Mus musculus: one gene and its partner. The protein of the gene in region 2 interacts with the protein of the main gene of each other region in a biochemical or structural test. Links are inferred from orthologs where the notes say so. Each region holds a gene or a part of one and is shown on either strand. Other genes may lie near its edges.

Region 1 (15,084 bases), on a different chromosome or scaffold from region 2:
GCCAGATTTAACACAGGTGCTAGGGACCGGAACGTAGGTCCTCCTGTTTGCTTGGTCATCACTTTACTAACCAAATTCATATCCCCAGTTCCCAGGTGACTTCTTTAAAGAATGGGTACGAAGGGAAATGAAGAGTTGGCTCAGTGGTTAAGAGCACTTGCTGTTGAGGGTCCAGGTTTAGTTCCTAGCATACACATGGCAGTTTATAGCTGTCTGTCACTCTGGTTCCAGAGGCTCTGACCCCCCTCTTCTACTTTCCACATATGTGGCAGCAGGCACATATGTGGTGCCCACACACACACACACGCAGACAAAACTCACTCGTATATACAAAATTATAGGAATCTAACAAGGCAGATCTGTTTTTCCTCACCTGTTTTCTCCCTGTTCTTTCCAGCACCGGCTATGCGACCACAGGCTACACACAGCCGGTGGCTACAGTGGGAACATCTCCAGTGGGTGTTGAAGAGTCCGTGGTGGCATCGACTGCAGCAATGTGGAATGCCTGGGCTGTCCTCTGTCATGGCTGGCCCCTGGCCTGTTGACCACAGAACAGAACAGGGTCAGAGGGCTCAAGCACACAGCCCCCTTGGGGAGATCGCACATAGCAGGGTTCTCAACCTGTGGGTTACAACCCCTTTGAGGGTCAAACGACCCTTTCACAAGAGTTACGTATTAGCTATCCTGGATGTCAGATATTTACATTACAATGTATAACAGCAGCAAAATTACAGTTATGAAGTAGCAACAAAAATAATGTTTTGATTGGGGGTCACCCCAACATGAGATGTTGTATTAAGGGGCATTAGGAAGGGTGAGAACCTCTGAGCATAGGGGAGGCAGGGAGCAATGTCTACCCAGAACCACTGGGAGAAAGGAGCTGGGCTCCTTGGCCATTCCTCATACTTCACTCAAGTCTTGTCTGGCAGTAGCCACCCTCTTAGGGACATGCACTCCTAGGGCAGCAGTGGCCTCAGTGGCCTCGGCCAGCCCCACCCCCTAGCCTTGCCCAGCGGATTTCCCCAGTGTGCCTGTATGTGAAGTTCCTGGCCACGTCACCTTCATCTTCCCATGGTCTTTTCAGCCAGGAGCACCATAGTCATCCTGTGTCTGTGGGTTGTTTTCCTGAGTGGGAATGAGCTCTGGGAGGGCCATACCTATTCCTGAGAAACTGAGTCCCTACCACTTCCAGCACATTTTCCCATTCACCTCCCCAGCCTCAAGCCCCACTGCTACCAAAAATGGAAAGGCTAAGCAGCTACTCAGATGGCCTTTCCTTTAAGTCCAGGGGACTTAGTAGATTAGAAAAGGAAACCCTAAGAGGCCACCCCTACCCTTACCCAAAGGAGTGGGGTTTTGTTGTTGTTGTTGTTTTTAAGAGCCAAAGTTCATGGTTGACCATGGTTGCACACACCCAGGACACCCAATCATGTCCCAAGTAGGCACAAACGACTCAGTTTCTCAGGAATAGGTATGGCCCTCCCAGAGCTCATTCCCACTCAGGAAAACAACTCACAGACACAAGGATGACTGTGGTGCTCCTGGCTGAAAAGACCATGGGAAGATGAAGGTGACGTGGCCAGGAACTTTACAAGTGGCCCCAAAGGATGAGTAAGCTCTTATCCATCAGATGGGAAGGGATGGCCAGGGTATTCCAGACTGAAGAAATAGCTAGTGCCAAGGCCCCAGGGGGCAGTCAAGCTTGATGATCCGGGAAGGGAAGGATGGTGATGTGTGTCAGGAATCCAGGCTGGGAGTGGCTGGCTCATGGCTCAACAAACTAGGGGCTTCCCTCTCTGGAGTGGGATGGTGACACTGGTTATCTCCATGAAAGGAGTGACATGTGGGACCAGGGCTGTGTTTCACGAAGTTCACACCATTGCTAGAAAGGGCTGCAGAGGGGTGGCCAGGATCTGAGGACCCAGCGGAAGGTCCTTGACCCTCAGCCTGAATCCCATCAACTTCTGAGGCCCATGAGCCTCACCACTCTAGAGACCTTCCTTGCCCTTAACCTCTCTGGAGTCGCCTCACCTCCCAGGCTCTTGAGACACTTGCACTGGCTGTTTCCTCCATAAGCCCAGTTGTTCTTAGAGAACTAGACTGGACCAAGTCTTTAGACTCCCCAGGAGGCCAGAAACCTCAGGATTGACCAAGAGTCCGTGCTAGGGATAGCTAGGAACAAAGAAGGACGGAGCTCTCCTGAGTAGGCCTGGGAACCCCAAAGCACTGGTAAACGTGGGTTGGGAGGGACATGCAGGAGCAGGCCCACAAGGGAAATTGGCTCACCTTCTCGCTGTGCCCAGGCAAGGGCCTCCCGCTCCTTCCGCAGCAGGCGGCAGAGTCGGTCCCCCAAACCACTCAGCAGGTGCTTGGCCAGGCCCTTGTTGAGTGAAGCTTCTGGGCCAGGCCCTCCTCCTCCTTCTTCGGAAGTGGCAGAGGAATCCTCCTCCTCCAACTGCTTCTCCTCCAGGGGTGACCTGGAAATGGATGAAGCTTGAGGAGGGAGCCCCTGGGTGGGGATGGAGTGCTGCTGGCTCTGACTGTCAGACACAACACTCACCTACGTGATTTCTGGGAGTGGCCGGTCAGTACCCCTACCTCTCCAGCTGCCTGGACACAGCTTTGGCACTGGGTGACACCTGCTAAGTGATGCTGGCAGGATGTATCCACAAGTCTGGACTCCTGGAGCCTAATCCTGCCATCTCGGGGCCCTGGGGAGACAATACAGTTGCTTAGGGAGTCTGGTTTCTGGGGCTTATGCTAGTCAAAGCCCTGAATTAACACCCACCCTTGTCCACATGCAGCCAATTCAGCCCCTGGACCCCAGGCTTGTGAGGACCAATTCAGAACCCGAAAGAGGATCAGTCCAGTATATTTCACACACAAAGCTGAGCAGTAGCTGGAGATGTCCCTGGTAGGAATGGAGGCTCAGGGGTTGTTTAGCATGTTCAGCCCAAGTCTCTAGGAAGCCTGAGCAATGGTCCTTGTACACGTGCAGAATCCAGCCAGTATAGACTTTGGGTAGGTCAGCTAAAGGCTAAGTGGCTATGTGACACTGTGAGATGATTCCAACGTGGACGGATGGGCAGTCGGAGGGCTCCAGAAAGGGAGAAGGTCAGTTTCGACACAGAACACAGGTGCTGTAACCCAAGACAGCAGAGGGGCCAACAACTTCCCAGTCCAGACTGAGGCACAAAAGGGTACAGACAGACCCACACCAGGTGCAGGGGCTTTAGGGGCCAGGTCACAGAGACCTGGGTCCAGCAGCCCAAGAGGCTGAGAATAAGGTGATCCTGCAGAAACCAGTCTGGCTCCAGGATTGCTGGAACCCTCCGTGACAGACACAGTGTAGCAGAAGAGTCCACGATGTACCCAAAAGGCTGTCCTGCTGCAAAGTCCAAATTGAGTCTCTATGATTCAGCTGGCCAAAAGATGCTGCCAGTGGTCCTTCAGGAGAGGTAATGCCTAAACTAGGATCTGTGGCACAAATCACCGTGGCATTGGACACTTATTGTTTGCTAAGTGCCATGAGTTCTTCAGCGTCCCCATGAGCCATTTGGTCCTTCCTGTTGTCTTCATAAGGTAGGAAGCACCTTTGTTCCCACTGTATAGATGAGGGAGCTGAGGTTCTCAGAGGTGAAGTCATGTTCTCCAGGTCACAAGTACTGATTAGCATGCCAGGAAGCAGCTATGTCTCCAGAACCCCTGCTCTGGACCGTGGCGTCGCCTTGCCTATAACTCACCAAGAGGCAGGCAGAGATGGAAGCCCCTGGCTAGAAGGCTGTGGTAGCCAACACTAAGAGCCAGAAAACTGTGTTGCTTCAGGAATAAAACCTTCCACCATCTTAGTATGACCCATTGCAGAGGCCTACGGACTCCCTTATAAAGACCCAGCCCTGCTGCATTTCAACAGGGCCCCTGCAGCCCATCACCCCCTTACCTCTCTGTTCCTCTTGTTGCTCTGCCTCCGCCTTGCTTCCTATGATTGTCTCCGGTGTCTCCTGCCAAGCCCTGGCCCCCTGCCTCCCAGTGCCTGGGAAAGGGTGGGATGGGCGTTTGGGAGCTGGGCCCCTTGATGCTCCTTGGACCTCTGGACTGCCTGCCCTCTTGAGTGCCCGGAGCCCAGTGGCTGGGCTCTCTTCCTTCCCTGAACAGCCACCTGGGCACTCAAACTGTTCCGAGTGGCGTGTGAGCCAGGTCTTTTTCAGCTTGGTGTGATGGCTTGGGGGACAGGCCCTGGAATCAGCTTTGTTCCTTTCTTCACTGGATTCCCCTGGCCCACTGCTACCTCCCTCTGGGCTATCCTGGCATTTCCTACAAGGGCCAAGATCCCCCTCTCTGGCAGGTAGATGGGATGAGCAACAGCCCCCTGGAGGGGTAGGAGGCCCAGGAGATGGGCACCTTGGTGTGGCTGGTGGTCCTAGTTGGTACCCAAGGCTATTACTTCCTGGCCCAGCCCAAATGTTGCCAAGACTGTGAACCAGGCCTGGGGGACAAGAAGGCCAGGGGGCCCGAGGAACAGTGTCTGGGTACCCCAAGAAAACTGGGCAAAGATTCTGCTGCCTGCCAGCTCCTGTCTCCCCATCCCTCTGGTGAAGTGAGGGGCCTTCTGATTCACAGGCTTGCTGGAGATGCCCACCAGGGGCTAAGCCCAACATCCCAGACTCTGCCAAGGGCTCCTTTGCTGGCCTGAGGATGTTCGGATCCTTGTGGTAAAAGCCCTAAAAGAGGAGAAAGGATTAAGCTAGTGTAGGTTCTCTACACTTAAAAGAGCAAACAGGACTGACAATAGTCACTAGTGAATTAGACTGTAAGTGGTACCACCCACTATCCCCTCCCCCAAATCTTCTCCCAAGCTTTCCAGAGGCTGAATGGCTAACACTTGGCATGACCAAAGGACCTCAGGACCTCCTAGAGAATTCTGTGCTTTGACCCTCGTGTCCTTTTGCCTGTTTTGCTTTTGGAGAGAGACTAGCACGGACCTCACAATCCTGCCTCAGTCTCCTGGGTACTGAGGTTACAGGCATGCACTCTCATGCCCATCTTTGACTTCCAACCATTTAAAAACCTGGTTCTAGGCATGTGAGGTGGCCTGTCAGGAAGGAGCCCCAGAAACAGACCACGAGGACGACACATCTCACTCATGCCTGGCCCCTCATGATAAGGCCACACATTTCACGGGCAGAGTTTCTAAGGCCTGATCCTGGGTGAACTATGGGTGAGTCAGTGGTTGCAGAGGCCCAAGGGCAGGGCAGGGAAGAGGCACGGAGACAGAGCTGCCCAGTGTTTGGTTGTCTTCAGGGCTAGGGACAATTGAACCCCATGCACCCACTGTATTTCGTCACTCACCTTGCTGCCTAAGCCAAAGGCAGAGGGCACTTTTGGCTGGCTCCCAGAGTATACCCATGGGTTTGGGGCCAAAGGCCAGTCATATGGACGCTCTGGGGGCAGGCTGGACATCAGGTAGGGAGGCAAGCAGGTAGGAACCCAGAAGGGAGCTCGCTCTAGAATCTTGGTCTCCAGCAGGAAAGGGCAGTGCAAGGGCCGGAAGGCCACAGGGTCACTCTTGGGATGGCCACCACTATGCTCAGGTATCAGGGGCCCATAGCGAGGTGGGCATGCCGGCCCACAAAAGGCCAGTGGATGGGCCAGCATCGCTTCCTTCCAGCGCAGTCCTTCCTTGCCGCCTAGCCAGCTGCCCTTCCTCTCCCCGTTCCGAGGACCCTCACCCTCCACCAGTGAGAGTGTGTCCTTGGGGCCTTGGAGGAAGCCAGGAGGGAGCCAGGAGTCTGGGGTGCTCAGAACACCCCTCCAAAAGGGAGCAGGTTCTCCTAGGCACAGTGCCCCATGGCGCAAGCCATCCTGTGGTGAGGTACCAGGCTCCTGTCCCACAATGCCGTTCACAGGGGCTGTCTTCTCCCAGGCTGGGGTGTCCTTCAGGAAGCTGGGCATACTCTCCATCACTCTCCTGCCCTCATGGGCCTCTCCCGGGGAGGGGGGTCCTGGAGGGTAAGGACAAAGCATGAGCCCCTTAGGCAAATGGCCCATGTATCTCAACCATGGGCACCACCCTGGGAATACCAAAGTGGCTCAAACCAGTAAAGCAAGTGTCAGGCCACAGCAGGGCACAAAGCAGCCTTCCACAGGTGGCCAAAAGGATTCTGCTTCATGGCCGGAAGTTGATACCTTTTCCTAAATTCTGGCCCCTATCTGAATGTGTGTGTGTGTGTGGGGGGGGGGTGTCCAAATTCAATAGAAGGGTGTCACTTCCAGGGTGAAAGGCTCTGCCCATGTGGAGCTAGGAATCTAGTTACAAGTCTTGGAAACTGATAGAAAGCAAGACTGCAAAAGGTTAGCTCAGTAGAAGACACTCAGCTGCGAGGACAGGGAGACTGACTGGATCCTGGCCCTGACTGTGTCACCTGCTATTCGGATGTCCAGCAGGTCATTTTCTCCTCTGGGTTTCAGTGTACCCGGATGTAAAAGAGGAACTCAGAGGATTCTTTCTAAACGCCAGTCTGTGGTTTTTGGGGTGCTGCTTGCCCGCTCCCATCTTCAGCCCCCACTAGGCTTGCAAGACTGGGATGTTCAGACCCGACAGGCTCGAGTCACTGGGCAGGGCAGCTAGCCAGGGCTGCTGGCTGGTGTCTCCCTACCCCTGGGCTGTCTGAATCTGCCCTTCATGGGCTCTAGTTTCTTGGCATCTTCAAAGAGTACCGGGACAACTACTGGGGGCTAGGATCTCTGCTCCCAATGGGAGTCAGCATGTGAGAAGGGATTAAGAGGTTTCAGACTAGGGTGGGTCGAGCTGCCCAAGCCCGACGGCAGTGCCAGGGCACCGCTGCTAACTGAAGCCCGGAGGGGGGAGGGAAGGAGGCGGGGAAAGCAGGCTGGGCCCCAGAGAGACGCAAGCGAGGGAAAATTGAACACGCTTGCTAGGGACCAGGATGACAGGTGGCACCAGATCAGCTGTAGTCTCCTGAAGTAGTCCCCATGGCCGGACAGAGGAAACTCCAAGAGGGATGGATGTACGTGAGCCTTGGCGGAGGCGCCAAGAATTTTTGGAGCTGCAGCTTGCATTCAGTCCAGCCCCCTTAGTTGGGCATCCTAACTTTTCCATGTTAAGATGTAAGGTTCAGTTCAGAGTGACACCGGCACTTCACTCCCTGCCTGCACCTTGGGATCAGCTCATAAACTCCCCCATTACAATTAGCCCAGAACGCGCTCCCTCTTGGCGCTTACCTGGGCTTCACAGGCCGGGCGCGGTGTGGGCGGCGGTCGTGCTAGCCGGTGCTGGGTACTCGCTCCCCATGGGCCGGCTTCGGGGCGTTCTCCCGCTTTCTGCTCAGCGCTCTCGCGCTCTCTTTCCCCCCGGGCGTCGGGGGCGCTCTAGGGCCGCAGGTTGGAGGGGTCGGACTCCGGAATTTGCAGGATGCGGCACACGGCGCGGATGGGCCGCACCAGCTTCTGGGCCAAGGCTGTGGGTTGCGCCATGGGACGCCGAGACTCCGTGCTGCGCTTTGGGGAGGGTCGAGCCGGGGCTAGGGAGCGGGTGTCCCCGGAGGGAGAGAAGGATCCGGGCCGGGGGGAACGCGCGCCCCGGGTCGGAGATGGCTGAGTGGGGGGAAAGGCCGAGGGGCCGGGGAAGGGGGTCGTGCCTGGAAGTGGGGGGCCGATCCTGTGAGCCAGGAGCGAGGCACCAGCGAGGGCGCAGCACCGCGTAGCGCGGCTAATGGAGGGAGAGCGCAGCGGAGAGCGCAGCAGGACCTCTGATCGCCATCGCCAGACGCGCAACTGAGAGTGGGGAAGCTGCTCCGCCGGTTTCCTCCTCCAGCACCCTGCGGGAAACAGGAGCCCGTGATTCGGCGGCCCCGCCTGGGCCTGCCCCCTTCTGAGCCCCGGGGGCTTCCGCCAACGCCCCGGCGATGCCACCGGCTGCGCACGGGGAGAATGAGCCCTTTGTTCCCCCCTCCCCCCCGCGGCACCCGGGCGCCTGCCGAGAGAGGCTCCCCTGGGGCAGTGTGCCAGCTTCCCAGCCGCCCCACCCTCCCGTGGGCCCGGCCCGGAGCCTGGCAGGCGGGCAGCACCCCCACTATAGGTGCCAAGCCCGGGAACTGGAGCAAAGGGCGGGAGGGGCCGGACCAGGCCAGGATGAGGCGGGGTGCCCCCCGGGGTGCTAGGGCGGGGCGGCAGGGAGGGGTCAGTGCCAGAGCTGGCAGGGGCAGTCGGGTTCTCACGGGTCAGTGATGGGTGCTGCGACCCACGCCAGCAGGCCCGTGCCTGCTGGACCACTCTCTCCCTGTCCTTTTCAGCTCTGGGCACACCCCAATGGCTGGTGTCTTCCCTACCTCATTCTTCATCATCACCTGGCTAAGCCACTCTTCATAGTGTCGGGGCCCAAGACCCTACCCAGCATCCCTCTCTGGGCACAATGTTACAAAGCACTATGCTTTGGAATCTGGGAGGGCCTGACCTGATATCTGGTCTGTTCCCTGGTCTAAGCGCCTTGATTTCTACCAAGTGTCCAGAGAGGTGAAGGGACCAGAAGCACACAAGCATTGCAAGCTCCACTTGGGGTTGCCTGCTGGGCTGCCCCATCTTCAATGTTCTTGGTGCTCTCAGGCCCAGCCTGGAGAGGAGCCCATGGGAGTGGCTCCTGGGAGGGAACATTGAGTAGGAGAGGAAATGGGCAAACAGGGCACCCTCCACCCGAGGAAGCATCCCTGCTCTTCTGCGGGGGTGGTTCCAGAGCACACACACAAACAGACAGACAGATTCAGACACACACAGAAACCCACACGCCCAACGGGTGCTTCCCTTCTCTAAAAGCACCCACCTTCTGCCCCTCTACTCCCCTGCCTCCGAGCCCAGGCTGAAACAGAAGCAACACCACTTACTCTCACTCCCACCCCCCACTGCTGTGGAAGGAATGGATTTGGGTGGCCACAGCCTGGTCCCAAGTCCCTCCACCATCTCTGAAGTTGAGGGGTATCATGAAGAGCCCAATGTCTTTCACTTAAGGGACAGGAGTGAAGGCAAGGAGCTTTTCACCAATTGTTAAGACCAGGATAGGTACTTGGGGGAGGAGGTCTGTCCTTCCATCCTAGCTGCCTGCTCCGACTTGGGCCTTGTTGATACAGATCCTCCTTGCTCCTCTCCTTCACAGAGACCAAGTCTGTGGTGGGCAGGCTGGCAGGGGTTGTTTACATGGCTGGGGTTTTCATACTCCTTTTCTTATCCACTCCTTTGGAGGTGACCTGACCTTAGTTTGCTGAGGGAGCGGAATGAGGAGGGTCTAACAGGGACTGGAGCAGCAGGGGGTCTAGCCTGACCTCTGGCTCCTGGCTCCAGGGCAGGGTGGTGGGGTGGCACGTGCCTGTGGTCCCCATCTAAGTTCCCTGGCCTACCTTAGCAGAGGCTTGTGGGAGAGTCTTGTGGCTTGAGGCCTGGTAGTGGCCAGAGTGGAACCCGGGGCTGTCCTGAGTCCTGGGGGCTTGTGGCTGTCTTCCCCTAAGGTGATAGGGACTGTGTCAGGGGAGCTGAACAGATACCCACCCCCGCACCTCCAGTCGCCATATCTGCCTGTCAGATTATATTGCCTGGGCTAGACCAGAGCTCTCAGGACAGTCTTCTGGAATGCTTAGGGGTTAGTGGAGATGAAGGTGAGGAGAAGTACTGCCCTCACTCCACCACGTTCCCCATCCTTGCCTTAGAGCCTATGCCACAGGCCAGAGTCCTTGCAGCTGGCTGTGCTGTGCCTGAGGATGGAGCAGAGCTGAGGACATACACAAAAGACACAAACACGGGGGAGGGCGCTCGTGGGGGGGGGGAAGCCACCCAGTGTGTGGTCACAAGACCAGATCATGGACCTGGCAAACTTACTAGCACCCCCAGACTCACATGGGCCCAGCCCTCACCCACCCCGACCCCTCACAAACTGACACACATGCTGACACACACTCGTTGCTGACAGGCACAGACTCTCTGACAGCCGGCTGCCCTTTCTCCACCCCAGAGACCCTTACCTGGGCAAGCACAGTACCCCTCAGGCAGAGTAGCCCCCTGCCCAGGGGTGGGCAGCAGGCAGGGCGGGGGAAGGAGCCCCGGAGAGTCAGGCCAAGCTGCCACTAATCCGGGCGGGGAGAGGGGGGGCACCCACGTCAGAGCGGGGACTGCCGGGTGGAGGGCATCTGAGGACATCCCCTCCCACACACGCGGCCGTCTGGGCACCTAGCCCTGCTTCCCCAGCCCCTCCATCCTTCAGACAGCTGAAGCTGGCCTCCCCCTACCCCACCCCCACCCCTGTGGCCATGCTTGGGGTGGGGGGGCATGGGGAAGGGGGATACAGGGCGAAGAAATCTCCCAGGACCAGGGGGAGGGGACAGGGAAGGGAAGTGTGGAGATGCTGCGGGAGCCAGGAGGAAGCTTGGGGTAGATGCTGTCCTTTCTGCTCGCTCGCCCACCCACCCACATCCTTGACCTAATTCCTCTTCTGGAGCCCTTCCTCTCTCTAGCCCTCCCCCACTGCCATCTAGCCTGCGTTGTGTTCCAGGCTGAACTTGGGACCTGTGTGTGCAACGATGCCAGCTCTGCCCCCAGGATCCCCCAACCCTAGGAACCAGCGGTGAAGGTCGCTTGTTAGTGGGCACCAATCTCAGATGCTGGGTGAGAAATGGGGATGTGAACCTGAACAGTTACCCCCTGGAGCTCCTCCAGTGCCTGCCAGGACCCCTAACTCAGCCTGGGCTAGGGCTGCATGTGTGGGACCCAGAGGCTTAGGATGCTGCTGGGAGTGGCAGCTAAAAATAAAGCCACAGGATCCTGTGTGCTGTGACAGAATCCAGAGAAGGGGAAAGTGACCAGGCTAATGAAGGGCCACAGGTCAGAGGGACAGTGATGGAGTCAGAGGCAGAGGGTTAAAAAAGGATGGCAAGAGGTGAAGTGGAGAGAGAAAGGACTGTGAGAGGAAGTCCCGGCTGTCATGGTAACAGGCCAGGAAGAGTAGGAAAAGCTGAGGAGTGGGGGTGGGACCAGAACTCACAGAAGGTATGTGCTAGGGACTGGTCTCTGGTGTCAGGTCCTTTTCCAACCTTGATCCTATCTGGGGAGGAGACCAGGCACACTGGTCTCAAGTAGAAAGTTGGTGGTCCTTGGAAAGTAGGAACAAGACCAGATGCCCTCCCTTTAAGAGGCCAGGCCAGAGCATCAGTGGTGGTCCAGGGCTCTTTTCCAGGGGAGGATAGTGTTGGGTGAAGGTGTGTTTGGGTAGTTCTCAGAGCTGTTCTGAGGGATGTCCAGGTTGCTACCCAGTGCCCCAAGTCTTGGCTCACATTTATGCTTGCCCAGAAATGCCTACCACCTGGACCTTCTACACATTTGTTTTTCTGTGGCCTCAGGATGCTTAGTAACCATGTGATTTTACCCAGCCATTCACCAAGCCATACCAGAGACACTGGTGTTTTGAAAGCTGTGTGGTGGAACTAAGGTGACACGGCACAGCCACCAAAGCAAAAGTTCACTCCCACCCTGAAGAGGTTTAAGATGTTTGATGTATGTGTTGGTTTAGTCACAATCCTCTTTCAGGCTTCGGATGGGTGTCAGGCCTTGAGCTGAGGCTGGGAGCCACAGTTAGAGATATGACCGTGGTGACAAGTGACTCCACGACTTCTAATCCTATGCTGGGGAGTGAGAGAGGCTTCTCAGAGGAAGGGGTGACGTTTCAGTGCAGAAGTTAGACACTAAGCAGGATTTCACCAACAAATCACACAGTTATAAAAATATCACACCTTGGTTCAACCATGTAGTCTGGGATACAACAGTAAAAATAAGGCTGAAGTCTCTCCGTGAGTGGCTAGGCAAGGCAGAGGCATGCGCGCAGAGGGTTCTGAGACAGGTGTATGAGTTGGAGTAGGAGAACAAAGCAGGCCGGGGGAGGGCAGAGGTGGGCTCTGCAGAGCCAGGGCACAGTGGCTTCAGCAGTCCTCCCAGGAGGACCAAGTGACTTTGCCCACCTCTCGGGCAGCACCTCTATAGAGGAGAAAGCCGTTTCACCTGTAAGATGGACAACAGGCCCTTTGCGAAGATTCAAAGAAACCAGCTCTGAAATGCTCAGCACAAGGTCAGGCGAGCAACAAATATCCCACACATGCCAGACTCCTTCTCCCTGCCCCTGCCCCCAGGCAAGGAACAGCCCATTTACTGAATAGTGATTAAGAACATCAACTCTGGAGCCAGACTGCCTGGTCCAAAGCCCAATCCTGCCACTTACTAGCTAGTCCACCTTGGGCAAATCATTTGCCCTTTGTGTGCCTGTTTGGGAAATGGGGATCATAGTAATAGCGGCTACTTCCTTGTCTCCTCACCCCTACAGTTCCTAGCAACACATCTTTTGGGTGAAGTAATGAGGCAGTAAGAGTCAGCATCACATACAGAGGGGATGCCATAGAGAAAAGCCACTGAACCCCAGTCCATGCCAGGCTAAATCAGCCACACAGATTAAGTGCCTTCCCCTCCAATAAAACCCAGATAATCCCTACACCAAGAGTTAATCCTCACAGGACACTCCAATTTAGCAGCTCATAGTTTTCCTCCAACCAGCACTCTTGACTCCGAAGTGGGAAGGAAGGACAGATGGGGTGGGAGGAGGGAGGACCCTGGGTACAACGTGCCTCCTACTTTAGGGGCAGATGACCCAGGGATCAAAGGAGATGGATTAAAGTCAACCCAGGGCAAGCGCCTGGGTCTCTATGGATGGAGAAGGCAAGCATCAGACAAGGGCTATCATTGGCTATCATCATTCCTTTGGCCTGCCCCATCAGCATCCAGGCCCCAGCAGGGTGAGGCGTTGGCTCGTCTCTGAGCCCCGCCCACTTTGACCTGGAAGGTGGGGGCAGCCTGGCCCTAGGCAGCTGCTGCCCTCTTGTGGCTTAGAGTGCAAATTCACCCTAATCGTATCTGAATGTCTACAGGAAGAGTTCACTGAACTGTGGCTCCTCTAGGTTCATGGAAGACCTAGCCTGCCTCCTCAGGTTTGCTCTGTACAGTTTCTATAGGCTCCCCATCTCTTTGCCTCTTCCTGTAAGTACTGATTCCCGACTGACCCTTCAAGATCAGTCTGACTCTTTGTTTTTTGTTTTTTGAGACAGGGTCTCTCTAGTCCTAGCTGATCTGGAACTGGCTATGTAAACCATGCTGGACTCACAGAAATCCTCCTGCCCTCTCCCCCTCAACCATGTTGGAATCAAAGGCTTGTGCCAATACACCAGGCTCTACCCTAACTCCACAAGGATCCCTAGGAGCAACTGTAAGAATACTGCTGCTGGGATGGGGCACAGAGATCTTCCAGCAGTCTCTACACCCTTTGCCAGAGCCTGCAGTGAGTTGTTAGCTACAATATGAGATGTGAAGAGACAAATTAGGAGAGGCCAAACACTGTTTGGTATTTATTTATATAAAAATATTCATAAGCCTGACCTCACTCACCAACACGAAACATGCAGCTAGTGTACGTAAACACACACACACACACACACACACACACACACCAGGCCTTGGAAAAGGCTGTCAAGTATTTTGAAGGACAAGAAGGAATGAACACAGCTGGTTGGACTTTTGGTTTCGTCGGTAGGGACTGGTGGGGCTCTGGTCCCGTGTCTGAGAAAGTAAAAGGCAGAGGAAGGCAATAAATAGGCCCCAGGCCTGGGCTGCTTTGGTATAGTGAATGTCTCCCTGTGCAGGGTACCACGCCATGTGCCATTTAGGCACAAGCCAGACGGAGCAGAACCCCGGTAGCTGGTGTAGCAGCGAAAGGTCCCCTGCTGGCTCCAGAGGTAAGGTGGCCTCAATCTGCAGACTCTAGCTGTCCATGTCTGAGGGCATGGCCTTTTTCCGGGTTCGGACCTTCAGGGAGCGTGAGGTGCCCTTGGGAAGAGAAAGCCAGTATACCTTGAGTGGTGTGGGCACTGCAGCTCCATCCACACCCCCCTCATGCCGTCCTTCCAACACACTTACCTCTCGAGTCAATGGCTTCCTCTTGACCACCCGAAGGCTCTGGCTGCGGCCTAGAGGCTTCTCTCGGGGCCGAACAGGTGGCTGGGGGACGATCTCATTGTCTGACCAACACTCATCCTCTGTGTCACTGCCCTGCAGGCCGCCTGGCCGGTATCCTGCCAAAGAGAGGCCCGCAGGGCAAAGCTGAGCACTTATACAAGCCTAGGGTCACGCCCAGCTTGCCTCTAGTCCTCAGAGAGGTCAGCTCCCCCTCTTTCCACTTACCAATAGGGGGTCTACGTCGGGGTACCTGGTCTTCCAGGTAGAGGGGATCTTGGTAGGTGGGGACAGGGGTGTCAGGGATAGAGCGCAGGTCTTGCATAGAGAAACTCCGCAGCCTTCCAGCTAGAGCGCCTTGACTCTAGGAGGTGAGGGATGGGAGCCGCTGTTAACTCCAGAGGAGGGCTGCGAGGGGAAGGGCTGTAACGGGGAAGCTGCCCTTCAGCTAATCTCTGGGGCACAAGATTCAGAACTGATCTGGGAGCGGGGGAGGCGCTGTGATCACCGGGGCCCACGGCACCTTGGTAGCAGCCTGCACAGCAGCTGAGGCAGCGATGTTGAGGCTCCGCTTCCCAAAACTGAGCATGGTTTCATAGCTGCGCTCCTTTGCCTGCACGATACACGCGTCGATCTCCTGCAGACCCAGGGCGGAGAGCTCAGATCAACGAAAGAACCACCGTCTTTGCAGACCCCAAGAAGCCACTGGTTGTCATAATCCCATGAGCCCTACCCAGGACCCAGGAGCCACAGATTTAGGTTCAGAACAACTGAAAGCAGGACTCCCCAACTACACACCCTCTCCACAACTTAGTGGGTGTCCCTTCCATTCTTCCATGCCCACGTCAACTTCCTGCTGGCTTGTCATAACCCTAAAGGTCGTCCATATGTATCATCCAGGTGGATGGGGAAAGCCAACCCCTTTCACAGTCCCACAGCAAAACTATAGAGGGACAGGGAATAAGACCCAGGCACCTCTGGCTGCCTGAACCTGAGATACAGGGCTTTCGCTCTGACACACTGCCCTGACACACCCTC
Region 2 (14,882 bases):
TCCTCTCCGGTTTAGAAAGGCCATAATTGAAGTACTGGTTCTTTTGTAGTAACTTAATGACTTTGGGCAGAAAAGTCAACCTCTTAATCCCTTTGAATCTCCATTTCCTCTTCATAAATCAGAGTCATAAGCAAGGGAGGGATATATAAAAAAAGCATCTGATACAGAGCCTGGAACATGTTAAATTTTACTAACCTTTGGTTACCATGACTTTCAGCCATTATATAATATGCTAACCTCATAAGGGTCAAAGGTTGCTGTCAGGAGAGAGATGCTGGGTGGAGTCGGGGGTGTGGGCAGCATGGGGGGCGGGAAGACAGTCGGGACCTGGCTTTAGTTAAGCCTGGCTTGGGCCTGGCATCCAAGGTGAGTGAGGCTCAAGGCACAGGTACTTGTCTGCTCTGGGAATCGACAGGCACCGACTGGCTGGAGTAATTACAGACTTGACTGACAGCTAGGGTGGCCCTTGCAACTGCCCAGCCAGCCACATTCTTCAGTCCGGTGGGTGGGTGGCTAGGTGGGCAGCTGACTGTTTATGTATCTACCGGGATGCTGGATACTTAATAACTCCTTTCCGCAGTATGCCCAGGCAGGCTGTTCAACATTGAGAGCACTTGGCTCCTTTCCCTGTGGCAACTTCTCAGCTACCCCCATCTCAGCCCTCCGGCTGCTTCCAAGTCGATAAGTAAGAAAGCTAAAGAAACAAGGTCAGACTCGCAACAACTGACCAATGAAGCATCTCTCTTTCCTGGCATTTCTCGAGCAGCTTAGAAACTCTACAAGGCATCCCATCATAGCCCTATCCTCAGTGCTACCTACGAGTAGTTACTGCGGAGGGGTCACACATTCCGTGTCATTGTCTCAAAATTTACATTCAAGGGAAACGTGTGCTTTCCCCAAAGCATTTGACAAAAACGCAACTCAGTAGGTATTGCACGAACATCTAGTGTAGTCTCGGTGCTAACATTAGACTCTGGGATGAGCTAAAGTGTGGTGAGATTTTAGTAAGCATGCAGACGTGGGGTCAATCCCTCATCCGTTGCTGACGGAAGGCCAGAAACTTAAGACTTTGGCCATACTTAGAGGTCAGGCACAGAGGTCTCAGGATGCCTGGCCCACCTGTCCACAGTGACTCAGACAAGCACCCCCACCAGCCAGAAACCAGGGCCATGACAATACCACCGTAGCTAAAAGTGGCTGCATAAACTTGTCTAGAACAATTCTGTCATTTTGGAGATGAAGTCGATATTGAGTATTGAAAACCAGGGGGGAAAAAGGGACCTTCTATTCACAACCAAAGGGAGAAGTTCGAGGTCTGTCTGTCTGTTTGTCTGTTTGTCTGTCTGTTTGTTTGTTTGTTTGTTTGTTTGTTTTTAATATCAACTCCAAACGTGGGATCCTGCGTGGACCAGTGATGCCTTTAGATGAAGCAGGAAGCAACCATATTATCATTTCACAGTAGCCCTGAACTGAAAACAACGCAGAGGTCTGTCCACAAGAGGGAGGACACACAACGTGTGGCATTTTAACAACGGAACGCTCGATCGCAGCGTTAACTAATGTGTGTCAGTGTGGAAGAGCACGTGGGTCCCGTGAAAAGGCATGTGACAGAGAATGGTGTGTAAACAGCCCCGACGCCATGCGACCCAGCACCGTACACTGTCTCAAAAACACACGTGGAAACTTAGAAAAGAAAGCAAGGAATAACAAACCCAAAGTTACCTCACCCTAGGGAATGACGAGAGGGCTCTGGTAACCAGGGCAAGACCAAGTAAGTGCTGGTTAAGAGACTGTATAGTCTGGGGAGAAGGCACAGTTGGTAAAGTGCTTGCTCTCCCCAAAGCAGGAAGACCTAGTTTGATCTCTGAGTGTCTGCGAGTTGTAATCCAAAGTGGGAGATGCAGACAGACAGAACCCTGAGGCTCACTGCCAGTCTAACTTAATTGAGGAGCCCCAGGACTGGATGGAGTCCCTAAGGTTAACACCAAAAGTTGTCCTCTGGTCTACACGCCTACACACACACACACACACACACACACACACACACACACACTCACACACACACACACACACACATACACACACTCTCATACACACACACACACACAAACACACACACACACAAACACACACACACGCATGCACACATTAAATCTTTTCACATTATTGATTGATTGATTGATTGTGTGCGTGTGTGTTCACCACAACAACATAGATGTGGACTGCAGAGGACACTTGTGGTAATGCATCGTCCCCCTTCTGTCATATGGATTCTGGGGACTGAACTCAGCTTGTCAGTCCTGGTAGCAAGTGCCTTTACCCCGTGATCCTTCTTGTCAGCCGAGACACGCATATACTTTAAAAAGTAAATGCTCTACTCCTAACTTGGGTGGTTAGTATAGTTGCATACCATCTGTAAACATGTTATATATACTCTTGAATGATATTATTTCTCAATTAAAACAAAACAAAACAAAACACAAAAGACGATTGAAAAGCTCGGCGATGCTCCCAGGTTCCTTGTCTCACGCTTGGCAGAATGAGAAACCAGTTTACCACATCTGCATTCAACCATTCCTGAGGTCCCACAGGATCTCTCACAATGAGTTTCTGTGCTATCAATTTGGATTGTTGTTGTTTTATATCCCGGCCTCGATTTCCCCTCTTTCCTCTCCTCCCATGTGCTATCAACTTAGAAACATTCATTATAACCTTTCTTTTACTGTTAAATTCCCGGTGCCTTAGCCCATGTCCACCGAGCAACTGTAGGAGCTTTTCAGAAGTCTACTCTGCCAGGCACTTGACTTTCCACTGTTAGTTCTCAGTAATTCTGCAGCTTGGCTATGATGGCCCTCAGTTTACTGATAATGAAACAGGAATTTGGAGGGATTAAGAAATTTCCCCCCCCCCATGGGTCCCACACAACTGGAACAGGGGCGATCCCAAAGGCTGTTGCCTATATTATACATGGGATATGTTCTTCTAGCTTGGCTGCCTTCAGTGGGAGAGGAAGTGCCAAGCCTAACAGAGAATACCCAGGGGACCCCCACCTGCTCAGAGAAGGGGATGGGGGTGGAGGGAGGATTGTAGGAGGAGGTGAGGGGTGGGGGGGAAGTGAGTGGGATGTAAAGTGACTAAGTAAAAAAAATTAAATTAGAAAAAAATAAAAAAGAAATTTGCCTCCAAAGTCATTAACTAGAATGTGACCAATTCACAATTCTGCCTCTATTTCTCCTGCCCTTCCCAGCTGCTAGCCCAGCCTCAAAGCCTCCTGCGTGCTGGAGGACACTGTTGCCTGTTAATGTCAAAGGTAAGCGAGTTAATGAGCTCAGGAACTCAGCACAGGGCCTGACTGGAGATCTCAGAACAGGCTGGAGTCCATTTCTCCAGGCACGAAAGCTCTCGGGGGTCAGGAGCCTCAGAGAGTCAGTGGGAGCAGGGTGGGGCCAGATAAGGAAGAACAGCACAGATGAGCTGATGGGACAGTGGCCTCTTTAACCTGTTCACCTAGCACTCCACAGCTGTTTGAAACGGAAAGAGGATTCCTTCTACCCTTCCGGGGCACCTGAGTATCGCCGAATTCTGTGCAATTTTTGCATGACGCTAAGTTTCTTTGATGCTTCTGAAATGGGATTTGTATCTAAGACCAGGACAGAGGCACAGAAGTCGGAAGGAGACTTCTGAGACACTACCATCCCCTGAACAACCTTTGACCCAGGGAACTTAATGCTCAGGTCAGCTTGTTCAAACTAGTGAGTGAATCTGACCCCACAGCTCACACACACTGATTACGAGCCTATAACACGGAAGCCAACGGCACTAAGTGTCTGCGACTTTACTGGGAACGCAGAAATGTAGAGTTCCTGGGAGTAACTACTGTAATTTCAGCAGTCCTGACTCTCTGTCTTCACGTTGCAACTCTGCTAAGCCTCAGTTTTTCCATTTGTAGAATGGGCACAGGAATTCTTCCTTCTTAACACGAAAGACCAGGAGGCTGTACCTACTAAGCACATAGCATCGGGTATCTAGGGCCCAGTGGGCCACTGTTCCTAGAGTTATGGTTTCAGCACCAGCAGGTGGCACACACTAGTCCTGTCACCAGCAAAGACTTGAGAGCTCCATAGTGTCTGGAATGTCACACCATGCAGAATACCTTAAAGGTTCGGCTTGGCATTGGAAGAGCAGCGAGAAGCAGTAGCTTCCCGGGAACGGGAGCTTGGTGCTGCCCAAACTCTACTTTCCCGCTGGTACAGCTGCCTACACCCTGCTAACGACAGGACCCTCCCCTGTGCAGAATGAAGACTTTGTGCGGCATCTGGTTCTGAGAACACTGCTTACTTTATTCTTTGGCACGAGACCTGCAGGGCAGGTTCACAGAAGCGTGGCACACACTGAGACTCTCACAGCGCCCTCTGCTTCTTCCTCTAGCTTCTGCTGTTTGCCCACTAGCCACCCTGCCCTCCCCTAGCCAGCTCAGTAGGGAGGGGGGGTTCTCACCACCTCCCCACTCTGTACAGGCAGGCAGGACTTGCCAAGAGGTCCCTCTCCCTCTTTTCATTAATAGTGATGAGAAAGAATGACTTCCGGCTTGCCAGAGTAAACAGTCACCCCACAGTCATGGAGGCTCCCCTCCCCTGTGTCCTACGCCCTAATCACTCACACACTCGGCCTCTGGGGACTCTCCAGAGAGGATGCCCTGAGTATCTGAACCACGAGGCCCAGGACTCAAAGGGAGGGCAGTTTCTCTTCCACATGTCACTACCATAGGATGAGGTCGCTGCCACCAACACCTATAGCTTAGGTTGAGCAAGATGTGTCTGTCCCACCCTGAGCCATTTCTCCAACAATCAGAGACAGGAAGCTCTAATGCTAGCATCCAAGGGTGGCAGTTCTATGCCCGACTTGGTAGCTTTGCCCCAGCTCTGCTTCCTGTCTTGACTGTCATTTTCCTGGATCTTGATTCTAGTTGACCTGTGCCCTTTATCTACAAGGATGAGATCTGAATGCCCTTCCCTTCCTGGTTGTCTACTCTCATTAGAGAGGGACTTCTTTTGGACATGGGAGAGTCCCCAGAGGTCTGGGAAGCTGGAGGGACCAAGAAAGCAGCTATAGGAAACAGGAAAGAGGAAGCATGCGGCCAACTCTTAGTTTAACTCTATCCCAGTTCCCTTGGGGAAGCTAAAGAAGAGCTGGCAGGTCTTCTTGTCCCTTTCTGAGCTGCCGTGGCACAGGAAAAACCAAAGGTAAGGGCAGGATAAGGACAAGCAAAGGACAAAAGAAAGTCATTTCAGCGGTAGGCTGAGTCTGGAGATGAGGTGTCCAGGGGCGTTGCTACCCTTAAGGAAGGCCTGGGATTGGCTGACCAGGCCAGGGATTGGCTGACCAGGCCAGGGATTGGCTGACCAGGCCAGAGAGTGGGCTGAGGTGTTGTGATTGCCCTTGGGATCAGGCTGCCCCACGTTCACCTCAGCCTCAAGTCTCTCCCGACCCTCTTGTCCCTTTATCACTCCGAGTGACCTCTCCTGGGTTTGGATGGTAAGGTATCCAGCTTACTCTGGTTTGGGTTTATGTCTTGGCATAGCCACACACAAAACCCCCTTCACTCACTCATGAGAAACCCAGTTTAGATAATAAATCATAAGTCGCTCTGTGCGTGCGTGTGTGTGTGTGTGTGTGTGTGTGTGTGTGTGTGTGTGTGTGTTCATCGGGCAATGACATGAAGCAATGTTAAGGACAAACAGGAGAGAAGTGTAATTAAAAGTGAGGTCCTGGTAGTCGAAAGCTGCTGCCAGGCTGGCTGCAGCCCAGTCAGAGCCTCCCGAACTGAAGAGCAATGGAAGACAGTGCCAGGGCTGCTGTCCCTTCTGGAGGTTGATTTGGAGGCTGAATCGAGTCAAACAGATCTGCTTTGCTGGCATCTCTTGGGACAGGGGGCTGCCACCATGCTGGGACACACAGAAGGCTCTCAGTCGAATATGGCCATGTCCTTATTCCCTCTACCTGCACCCCAAATGAATTCACAACAGTGGCAAGCAGAAGCCCACGATCCAACTACAAATTAGATCCTGGCACCCCAGCCTTGCTTAGCTGCTGTGTAGACGGTAGGAGCCAAGAGGCTGATCTCAGACAATTTCTAAGATATAGGATGCAACACTCAACAGCAGCATTCTCCTGTCTTGGGTGACTTCTCGGTCTACCTATTTAGACCCTAGGCCTTCCTCTACTGAAAGCCTAGGATTTGCACATCTACAATCTGTGCTTACGGCAGAGGGCCAGGGGGTCTCTAGGGGCTTCCCAGGGGATTCAGTCCCTCCAAGAGATCAGTTCAGAGGTGGGCGGGGGAGGGAGACTAATAGATCATGTTATAAATAAGTAGAGCCCAACGCACCAGGGCCGCTAGAGTATACGCAGACTTATGACTGTGCCTGGAGAAGAGTGGGGGTCGGCTAAGCTGCCCCACTTTCTTCCTTTCTCTCCTTTCCCTTCTCTATCTTGGTCAGGAAGCAAATCACAGTTGACCAGGAGTACTGACTGGGGATTCCTACTTTTTGCAGTTTGAAGCAATGTCCCTGTTGTCCTCCCTGTGTCCCTCACACAAGGTAGAAAAGGCTACGGGTCACCTATTTCTGCTCAAGGGGTCTCTAGTATCCAAAACAAAGGCAGACACTTTCACTCCTACTGTCTCCTGTTCTGGCTGCACACACTATTCTCTCCAGTCTTCAGCTAGAGAAGGAATAGAGATGGCCCCCAAATATAAAAACCCTTAGTTTACAGAGTTGACGGTCCTGGGTCCAGACAACTGCTCTCTGCCCCTCAGAAGTCCACTCTTCCTCCCTAGCCTGGGGAGAGCATTCCTTGCATTTTCTGCTCCCTCGGCCTTCTGATTTCTCCTGCATGCCTGCCTTACGGGACAAGATGGGTACCTGACAAGGTAGAAATGGAACCAGTGCCTGGTAACTCCACAGTACTGGGATGTGCCTCTAGTTCTTAAGAATAGGAAGAGGTGAGGATTTACCACAAAGCCACTGTCTCTTCGTGGCCATCTCCTGGAATCATCCCTTGCCCATCAGCCTTTGCTGACATTCCCCCCCCCCCCACCTCCTGTGTCATGAAGAAGATGGCTTTCCTCGGGGCATCGAGGCAGACCTGAACTCTGTCCAAGGGAACATTTGCAATGCCCAGAAAATGCCTGCCCAACTGCTTGCCTAGGCTCTGGCCCCTCTTACCGCTGCTGGGCCCAGACAGGAGGCTGACTCATTCACCACAAAGAGGAGGAGGAGGAGAAGGAGGAGGAGGAAGAGGAGGAGGAGCAGAAGGAGGAGGAACAGCAGGAGGAGGAGGGTTGCTCAGACTCAGAGAGCCAAGGCTCCCAGAGCCCAGGCAGATTCAGCCTCAGGTAGGGGATAGTCATAGTGGAGACAGTGGACTTGGAGATCACACGCAGATCCTACCTAGATTCGCCTCTTGCATCCAAGTCCCTTCACTCTCCAAACAGAAACTAGTCCTTAAAACCCCTTTCTCAATTTCCACGCTCACCCTCGAGTCCCTCTGGACATCTGTGGACAGGCTCTCCTGAAAGAGAAACCTAGCACACTGGTCTCAAAGCACCGGCGGTTTTAGAAAGGCAAGCACAAAAGGAAAAAACTCCATATAAAAGATTCCACTCCACTATCACTGGTGATCACACATGGCTCCGCGAAGTAATAAACAGGCTCTACACACTCCACCTCCAGAGACCTTAGCACCATCGACAGCCAATCACTCCCTTCTTACTCCTCCACTCCAAGTCAAAGCGCCCGTCCCAGGAAAGAAACAAACGCTTCTTGTTGTCCAGCGCTGAGCACCCTCCTAGCTAAGGACTCCCACGCTGAGCCGCCTGAGCATCGCGGAGGTGGCTGTCCCCTCGCCAGCCTCGTACGAACTTCAGCTTTCTCAGACTTGGGTGCCCTCTCAGAGTCCCAACCTCATGGCACCACAGCCCGGATCTCAGTCGCCAACTTTGCTTTCCGAGTCTTGGACTCTAGCGCTTGCACCCGAACGCTGAGACCTCTAGATCCCAGACGCCTGCCCCGGGTCTAACCACTCACCCAGAACCCCCTTCCCCCTGCACCCCGATCCGCACCTGGTCTGGCGGTGGACACACAGCTCGGCGCTTCCCGTGCTTAGGGCTCGGCAGCAGCTTTTTGACAAGCAGAGACTGCTCAGCACCTGGCCCCGCCCCCGCAAGGCCCCGCCCCCGGACCGCCCTGCCCCTCAACCACGCCCACTAAGTTCAGTCCTCTGAAGCCCTGAAACTTTCTTGACTTGGAATCAACCACTGCACTGTCGCCTTGGAGGCCCTGCCTTGTGAGGGGCTCCAGGACCGCCAGCCACAGTGCAGCACAGGCGTCTGCCTTCCGTGGAACAGTATTTGATGATGTCGTGTGTGCAAATCCACGTTTCTGCCTGTGATGATCCGTGATGTAGCCACCACCCACCCCTGCCGCCGTGGTTCTACCCAATCTGCTGTAAACGCCTCCCCCAGGTGTGTCACCCGTACCTGAGTTGACCCGGGACCCCGACGCCCGCGGCGCGCTGCAGGGAGCCGTTCTCTGCGCGCGCCGGATGGGGAACCTCAGGTGAGTTTCTCCTGCAGGGCGCTCAGCCGGACTCTACTGGTTAGGATTAGCCCAAGAAAACCAGATTGGAGGTTGGAGTTGCGTCCTCTCTCCTACCTGACGTTCTTCTGCTAACTACACCGACGGAGCATGTTCCTGGCTAATTGCATCTCATTCCAGCAAGCCTTGCTGTAGCTTCTGAGGTCTCTGCCTCCCAGATCATCCCTTGCCACCGAGACCCTGGTGTGAAGGAAAGGCACAAAGTTCACCTCAAGACCTGGAACTGTGCATGGCTCCTGAGAACTCATTGTAGAAAAATTTGGATAAAGATTACTCTACTCACACGCTCCGTGCTCCGCAGTCTATAGGGGTCCCTTTTTTGAGTAGGAGATGTATGCATAAATAAACATAAGGGTGTTCTAGAATACAGATACCCCCAATGTCACTGGACAGTTGGTGACCTCCTGTAGTTAGGAAAGATAATGTTTAGGAGGCTCAGTGGGGACAGGGAGGTGGAGAACCCAGTGATTTGCACAGACCAAGCCGTGGACCAGTGGAGGATGAGAGCCCAGCCTGGCGGTTAGTGCACTTCTCATTCCTCACACAGAGGTGTTAGAGTGGAAGAAATACTGCCCCTTCCAGCTCTTGCTGACTGTCCCCAAGAAACCAACGGAGGCTAAATAGAAGAAAGAGCTTCCAGACAGTGGGGTCTGAGGGGAAGCTGTGAGGAGCTCTTTAAGAGACGGTAGTGGAAACATTCTGGGAAGGCTTCAACGTTTTCAGAAAACATGTGACACATGGTGTTTAAACTCAATGAATGAATGGAAGAGGCCTTTTGGGAGCCCTCCCAGGCTGGTGTTTATTCTAAATGAAAAAAGAAATCATTTATTCTAAATGAAAGAATCACTTTCTAGAACATCAGGGGAAAGCTGACTCTCTCAAGAAGAAAAGCACAGGAGGGAGTCTCAACAGCCAACACCTTAGGGCATTTTGAAATCCCCCCCCCCACCCCCAACCCCCCCAACCCCCCCAACCCCCCCCCCCGTGAGCCTCTGCAGGAGGCGATGGAAGATGTGCACCTACATAAGCCATACTGACCTTACTGGGAATCTTTTTCACAGCCGTGAGCTGGAAGTTCACATAGGGTAGCATGTTCTCTGGATGTTTTATTCAACCTTCATGTCAATCTTTCAAGACAGAGCAGCAAAAACTCCGCCCCCCCCCATCTTAAAACTTGGCATTTTTGCAGCTGGGCAATGACAGAACCACTTGAACCCCGTCTTCTTTATGACTGACCTCCATCATTTCACACTGCCTCTCAAAAAAAAAAAAATCCCAAGTAATTTTCACCTATTGGATCACAGTCTAGAAAAACCAACCATGTGAGGAGAGGGGCAAAGAGATAGCTTGGCCATTAAAAGCACTGTCTGCTCTTCCAGAGGACCAGGGTTCAATTCCCAATACCTACCTGGCAGCTCACAACTGTCTGTAACTCTTGTTCCAGGGGATCCAACACCCTCACACAGACATCCATTCAATCAAGTCATCAATGTACATAAAATAAAAATAAATAAATGAATAGATAGATAGATAGATAGATAGATAGATAGATAGATAGATAGATAGATAGATACATGCCCTTGGTGTTAATTAAAGAAAAAAAACAGCCAGGAAGAAGTCAGATGTGCTAGGTTTGTCAAGGTTCTAGGTGTCCTTGCTGTGTTTAACACACTCCGTGATTGGCCCAATAACCACACCCCTAGTGATGTCCTCCGAGACTCCCCCAATTCCCGGACCACCTCCTCTCACCTGGCTCTCCAGACTCTAGTCTCCTCCTTGTCTCTGTCCATCAAACCCTTTCCACCATCTCCCGGCAACAATGAGCCGCTGTAGTATATGTTCCTCTAGCCCAGGGTTTCTCACCTTCTAACAAGATACTTTGTATTTATGTTGAATAAGAATTTGTTCTACCCCCAGCTTTGTTCTCAGAAAAGTAACTTTGTAACAGTGGGAAAAGCAAGATTTCTTTCCCCCTCTCTTCTTCTAGAAAGAAGGTCATTGTCTCCTGACCTCACACATACCTGGGTAGGTCCTGGAAGGAAGGCTACATTCTCAGACTTTCTTTCCTGGAAGCCTTGAGAACAGACAACATTCTCTGGGAACTCTACTTCAGAACTAGTAGCTTTAAATTACTTTAGAGGCAGGTGGATCTATGAGTTTCAGGCCAGCCTGGTCTTAGAGTGAGTTCCAGGATGGGGAGGGATACACAGAGAAATCTTGTCTCAAAACAGAAAACAAAATTCCTCTAGATTGTTGCAGGACCCATGTGCCAGATCCTCTGTGTAAAGTATGAATTTTCTTTTTTCTTTTTCTCTCTAAATATACCATTCTCTATTGTCCTTAGAAGGGTGGTGTTGGTCACTTGGTCAGATTGTCTCTGTTCTGTATTTATCTCTGATCAGTTTTACCAGAAACTACCTAGGAATTCTGTAACTCGGCCATTTAAAAAAAAAAAAGATTTATTTATTTTATGTATGAGTACACCGTAGCTGTCTTCAGACCCACCAGAAGAGGACATCAGAGCCCATTACAGATGGTTGTGAGCCACCATGTGGTTGCTGGGAATTGAACTCAGGACCTCTGGAAGAGCAGTTGGTGCTCTTAACCACTGAACCATCTCTCCAGTCCCTAACTCAGCCATTTGTATATTAGCAAATAACCCCTGCCAGGGACATGCTCTTTGCAGGAGGGACTTCAGGGCTTGGAACCGCCTTGTGCATCCCATAAGGCAAAGCCTCGTCTCTGGTCATTTCTACTAGGCCCTGGGTGTCTATGGGTGGTGTGGGCAGATGTGGCCTGTCGTCAGCCTATGAGACCCCCTTTCCTGCATCCTGGGCAATAATGTCTCAGAGATTGGCTGGCCCTCTCTGAGTTCCTGGCCATGATGTAAGATCCCAAGCAAATCCCTTTGTCTCTGACATTCCCACAGACCCTGTGCTTATGACAGAGGGGTTTCCCTGATAAAAGAGTGGTGCCTTTTGTGCTCTCAATGGACTGCTTCCCTCTGACCATTTGCTTGTTCCCATCCTTGGTCTTTTTCCTCCTCTGTAATATTTTATTGTTATGGGCATGTGAAAAGACAGACAGCAAACAGATGCCAGAAGAAGATGCCCCGAGAGCCACGGAGCTGCAGGGTCATGGTGGCAGAAGGGACCAAATCTTCTCGCTTAGCTCCTCCTTTAGACGCTTTTATGAAATTAAAAGTTTGGAAAGGTTAACTCAGCCGTCTTTTAGGACAAAAGGGATCTGGGACCGTTCGTGTTTGTGTTCAGATGATGCAGATGAAATGAATAAATGGAGGCGCTGCACGCAGAGAAAGCAATTGCACCAAAAGGGCTCTTCCAGGGCAATGGCTTCCAAACGCCAGCGGCTAGCTAGCAAAGACGCACATCCATCATGACCCAGACTGCATGCAGAAACGTTCTCATGAAGCAAGAGCTACACTGAAGTGGGTTCTCTCTGGGTAAGAGAAAGAAAGAAAGAAAGAAAGAAAGAAAGAAAGAAAGAAAGAAAGAAAGGAAGGAAGGAAGGAAGGAAGGAAGAAAGAAAGAAAGAAAGAAAGAAAGAAAGAAAGAAAGAAAGAAAGAAAGAAAGAAAGAAAATTTTTTTAAAAAGTAAAGGTGTGACAGCCCCTAGGTATTGTGGAGGAGGAGGCTTATTGTAGATAAAAGGGAGAGCATAGCGAGAGGCAGGCACCTCTGGGATAGTCCAGAGTGGACATGACCTTGAGCTATGGAGAGGGGTGAAGGAAGGGAGGGGAAGGGAGGGGAAGAAGGAAGAGGGGGGAAGGGAGAGGGGAGGAGAACCACCAACCAAGAGGTGCAGCCTAGGCCAAGAGGATGGGCAAGAGGAGGGTAAACTTAGATTAAAATGTCTGGATTATATAGGGAAGGGTAGCCCAGCCCCTGGACAGAAGAAGTTTAATGTAGGTAGGAGGTAGGGCATGCCTGCTATACCATATAACAGGTAGGGACTGAGGAATGCTGGGAGAACCTGGTGGCCAGGTCTGTTTGACATGTTAATGCATTAATTAGGTTTGAGACCCCCCCCAATCTCTTTCTCTTACTCTCCCTCTCTCCCTTTCTAGATCTCTACATTCTAGCTCCCTCCTCCCTCTAGCTCTCTGTCTCTCTCTCTCTGTCTCTCTTTCTGTCTCTGTCTCTGTCTCTGTCATCTCTCTCTCTCTCTCTCTCTCTCTCTCTCTCTCTCTCACACACACACACACACACACACACACACACACACACACACAAACACACACACTCACACACAGACACAGACACAGACACAGACTAGATTGTAGCCTCCAATCAGGATTTGTTTGAGTTTGCCTTTCTGAGTTCAGCACACCATGGGACACCTTCCCAAGAGCCTGGAACCTGAGCTGAGAGACCAACACAGAATGCCAGAAGCACCATCAAGAATCCCACAGTGGGGCTGGTGAGGCGGCTCATTGGTTAAGAGCACTGACTGCCCTTCCAAAGGTCTTGAGTTCAAATCCCAGCACCCACATGGTGGCTCACAACCATCCTTTAGGAGATGTGATGCCCTCTTCTGGAGTATCTGAAGACAGCTACAGTGTACTTACATATAATAAATAAATAAATTAAAAAAAAAAAAGAATTCCACAGGGGCTCCATGGTGGCATTGGAACTTTGGGGATTTCTTTTCCTATGGTGAACATGAGGTCCCTGAGACAACCTGTGTCTACCAAGGTTTGCTTTCGTGGCCTTAAGTCAAGTGTTACCTGACCACTGTCTTGAGTTTTCTAGCCTTCCAGCCTCGGGCAGCCTATGGCATCTCAGGCATCCTGGCTTGTCCAGCATAGGCCAGCTCTGAGGAGAGTCAAGAGTGAGAGCCACAGACCCCACCTGCTCTAGAAACAGTCAGGTGCTGCCAGGTAGCCTCTGGCTCTAAATCCTTCTGGCTCCACGGCTCCATTCCCAGCAGCCCAGCTCATGTCTTATCCTTGAGGGGTTTGGGCATCTGTTTATCATCTGTTCCCACATCCTCCAGTCCAGGTTGCCTGCCAATCCATTGGCCCGCACACAGTGTCAGTTGGCATGTCCTGGGGGAGTCAGATGGGGAAGTGCAGACTTCTACCTGGATCTCCAAGCAGAGGCAGCGTGGAGCTCTCCCAACCTCCAGGTATTTGCTAGGCTCCTGTCCAAATCTGCAGCAGACAATGATGACACTTCTCCAACCCCCGTAGTCAACCATTAATACTGTTGGAGTAAGTCATAGGCTCAGAACCTATGACTTACTCCTTTCCCATCCAGTTACTGTCTGAGCGGTTTTTTGTTGTTGTTGTTTTGTTTTGTTTTTTTGCAAGGATCATGAGTAAGTAGTCTTGCAGAAGGTGAAGAGAATCGCACTTACAACCCATCTGGGAATTTCTAGTTTGTTCCTCTGAGGAAGAAGGTCTTGTGGAAGAGCCAAGTGATGGAGGTAAGAGGAGAGGCTCTGTGGTTTAGGAATGACACAGATGACAACGGAGTTACGTTACTGTCATAGTGCTGCCAGAGAATTTAGCAGGGGAAAGCTGGCTGCCTTCTAAAATCCCTCCTTGTATAAAGCAGTGTCTCCAGGGAGGGTGGTTGGGCAACCATCTCCCTTCCTTCAAACCAGTGAGCAGAAGCCCTGTAGCCCAGGTCCTGACCACGCCTACGTGTTTCTTCAGAACAGAGAGGACATTCCGTCAGCAGCCCAGGAATGCGTTAAACATCTCTCCCCTGGGGCCCCGACTCCAGAAAGATGTGTCCGTTGACAGCTCCTCTTTGGCCTTCAGCCTGGGATAAGCACACCACAAATCCTGGCTGCCCCCCTCTGAAGTGCTCACTTCATTGTTCTTAGCTGTCAAAGACGTCAGCATGGTTAGAGCTTGTGTGTCTGCTGTCCACGCCCCTTTCCAGCTGGAGTTATTGTGGGTAGGGTGGCAGAGATGTCTTGTGCTGTGCACTGTCGGGGTGTCCTGCCACCGAGAAGTGACCTCAAGATGCTTTCATTGTGAAAACCGACTCACAAAAGAGAAACTGACATGTATGAGTGAAAAAAAAAAGAAATAAAAAAGGGAAGGACATGATTGCTCCTAGGTAGATATGGTGGAGGAGGACGATTATTGTAAACAAAGGGCAGAACATAGCCAGAAGCAGAGGCATCTGAGAGACTCCAGAGAGCACAGGACCCTGAGCCATGTGAAGAGGGCGGGGGAGGACAAGGGAGAGA

The links.
Region 1: the proteins of Vdr (region 2) and Hr form a complex in vitro, tested with the Homo sapiens proteins (2 studies listed by BioGRID and IntAct). The link is inferred for Mus musculus from reciprocal best matches to the Homo sapiens genes VDR and HR.

The regions. Positions count from the first base shown.
Region 1 is NC_000080.6:70,547,266-70,562,349, reverse strand, and holds the start of Hr (lysine-specific demethylase hairless), read right to left. Parts: upstream 8,117-15,084; 5' UTR 7,243-8,116; intron 6,003-7,242; 5' UTR 5,962-6,002; coding exon 5,350-5,961; intron 4,722-5,349; coding exon 3,941-4,721; intron 2,712-3,940; coding exon 2,561-2,711; intron 2,478-2,560; coding exon 2,287-2,477; intron 539-2,286; coding exon 374-538; intron 1-373. Other genes in the region: Reep4 (receptor expression-enhancing protein 4), read right to left, coding at 13,855-13,920, 14,011-14,165, 14,275-14,410, 14,570-14,683. UniProt on the Homo sapiens protein: Histone demethylase that specifically demethylates both mono- and dimethylated 'Lys-9' of histone H3. May act as a transcription regulator controlling hair biology (via targeting of collagens), neural activity, and cell cycle.
Region 2 is NC_000081.6:97,900,113-97,914,994, forward strand, and holds the start of Vdr (vitamin D3 receptor), read right to left. Parts: upstream 8,185-14,882; 5' UTR 8,123-8,184; intron 1-8,122.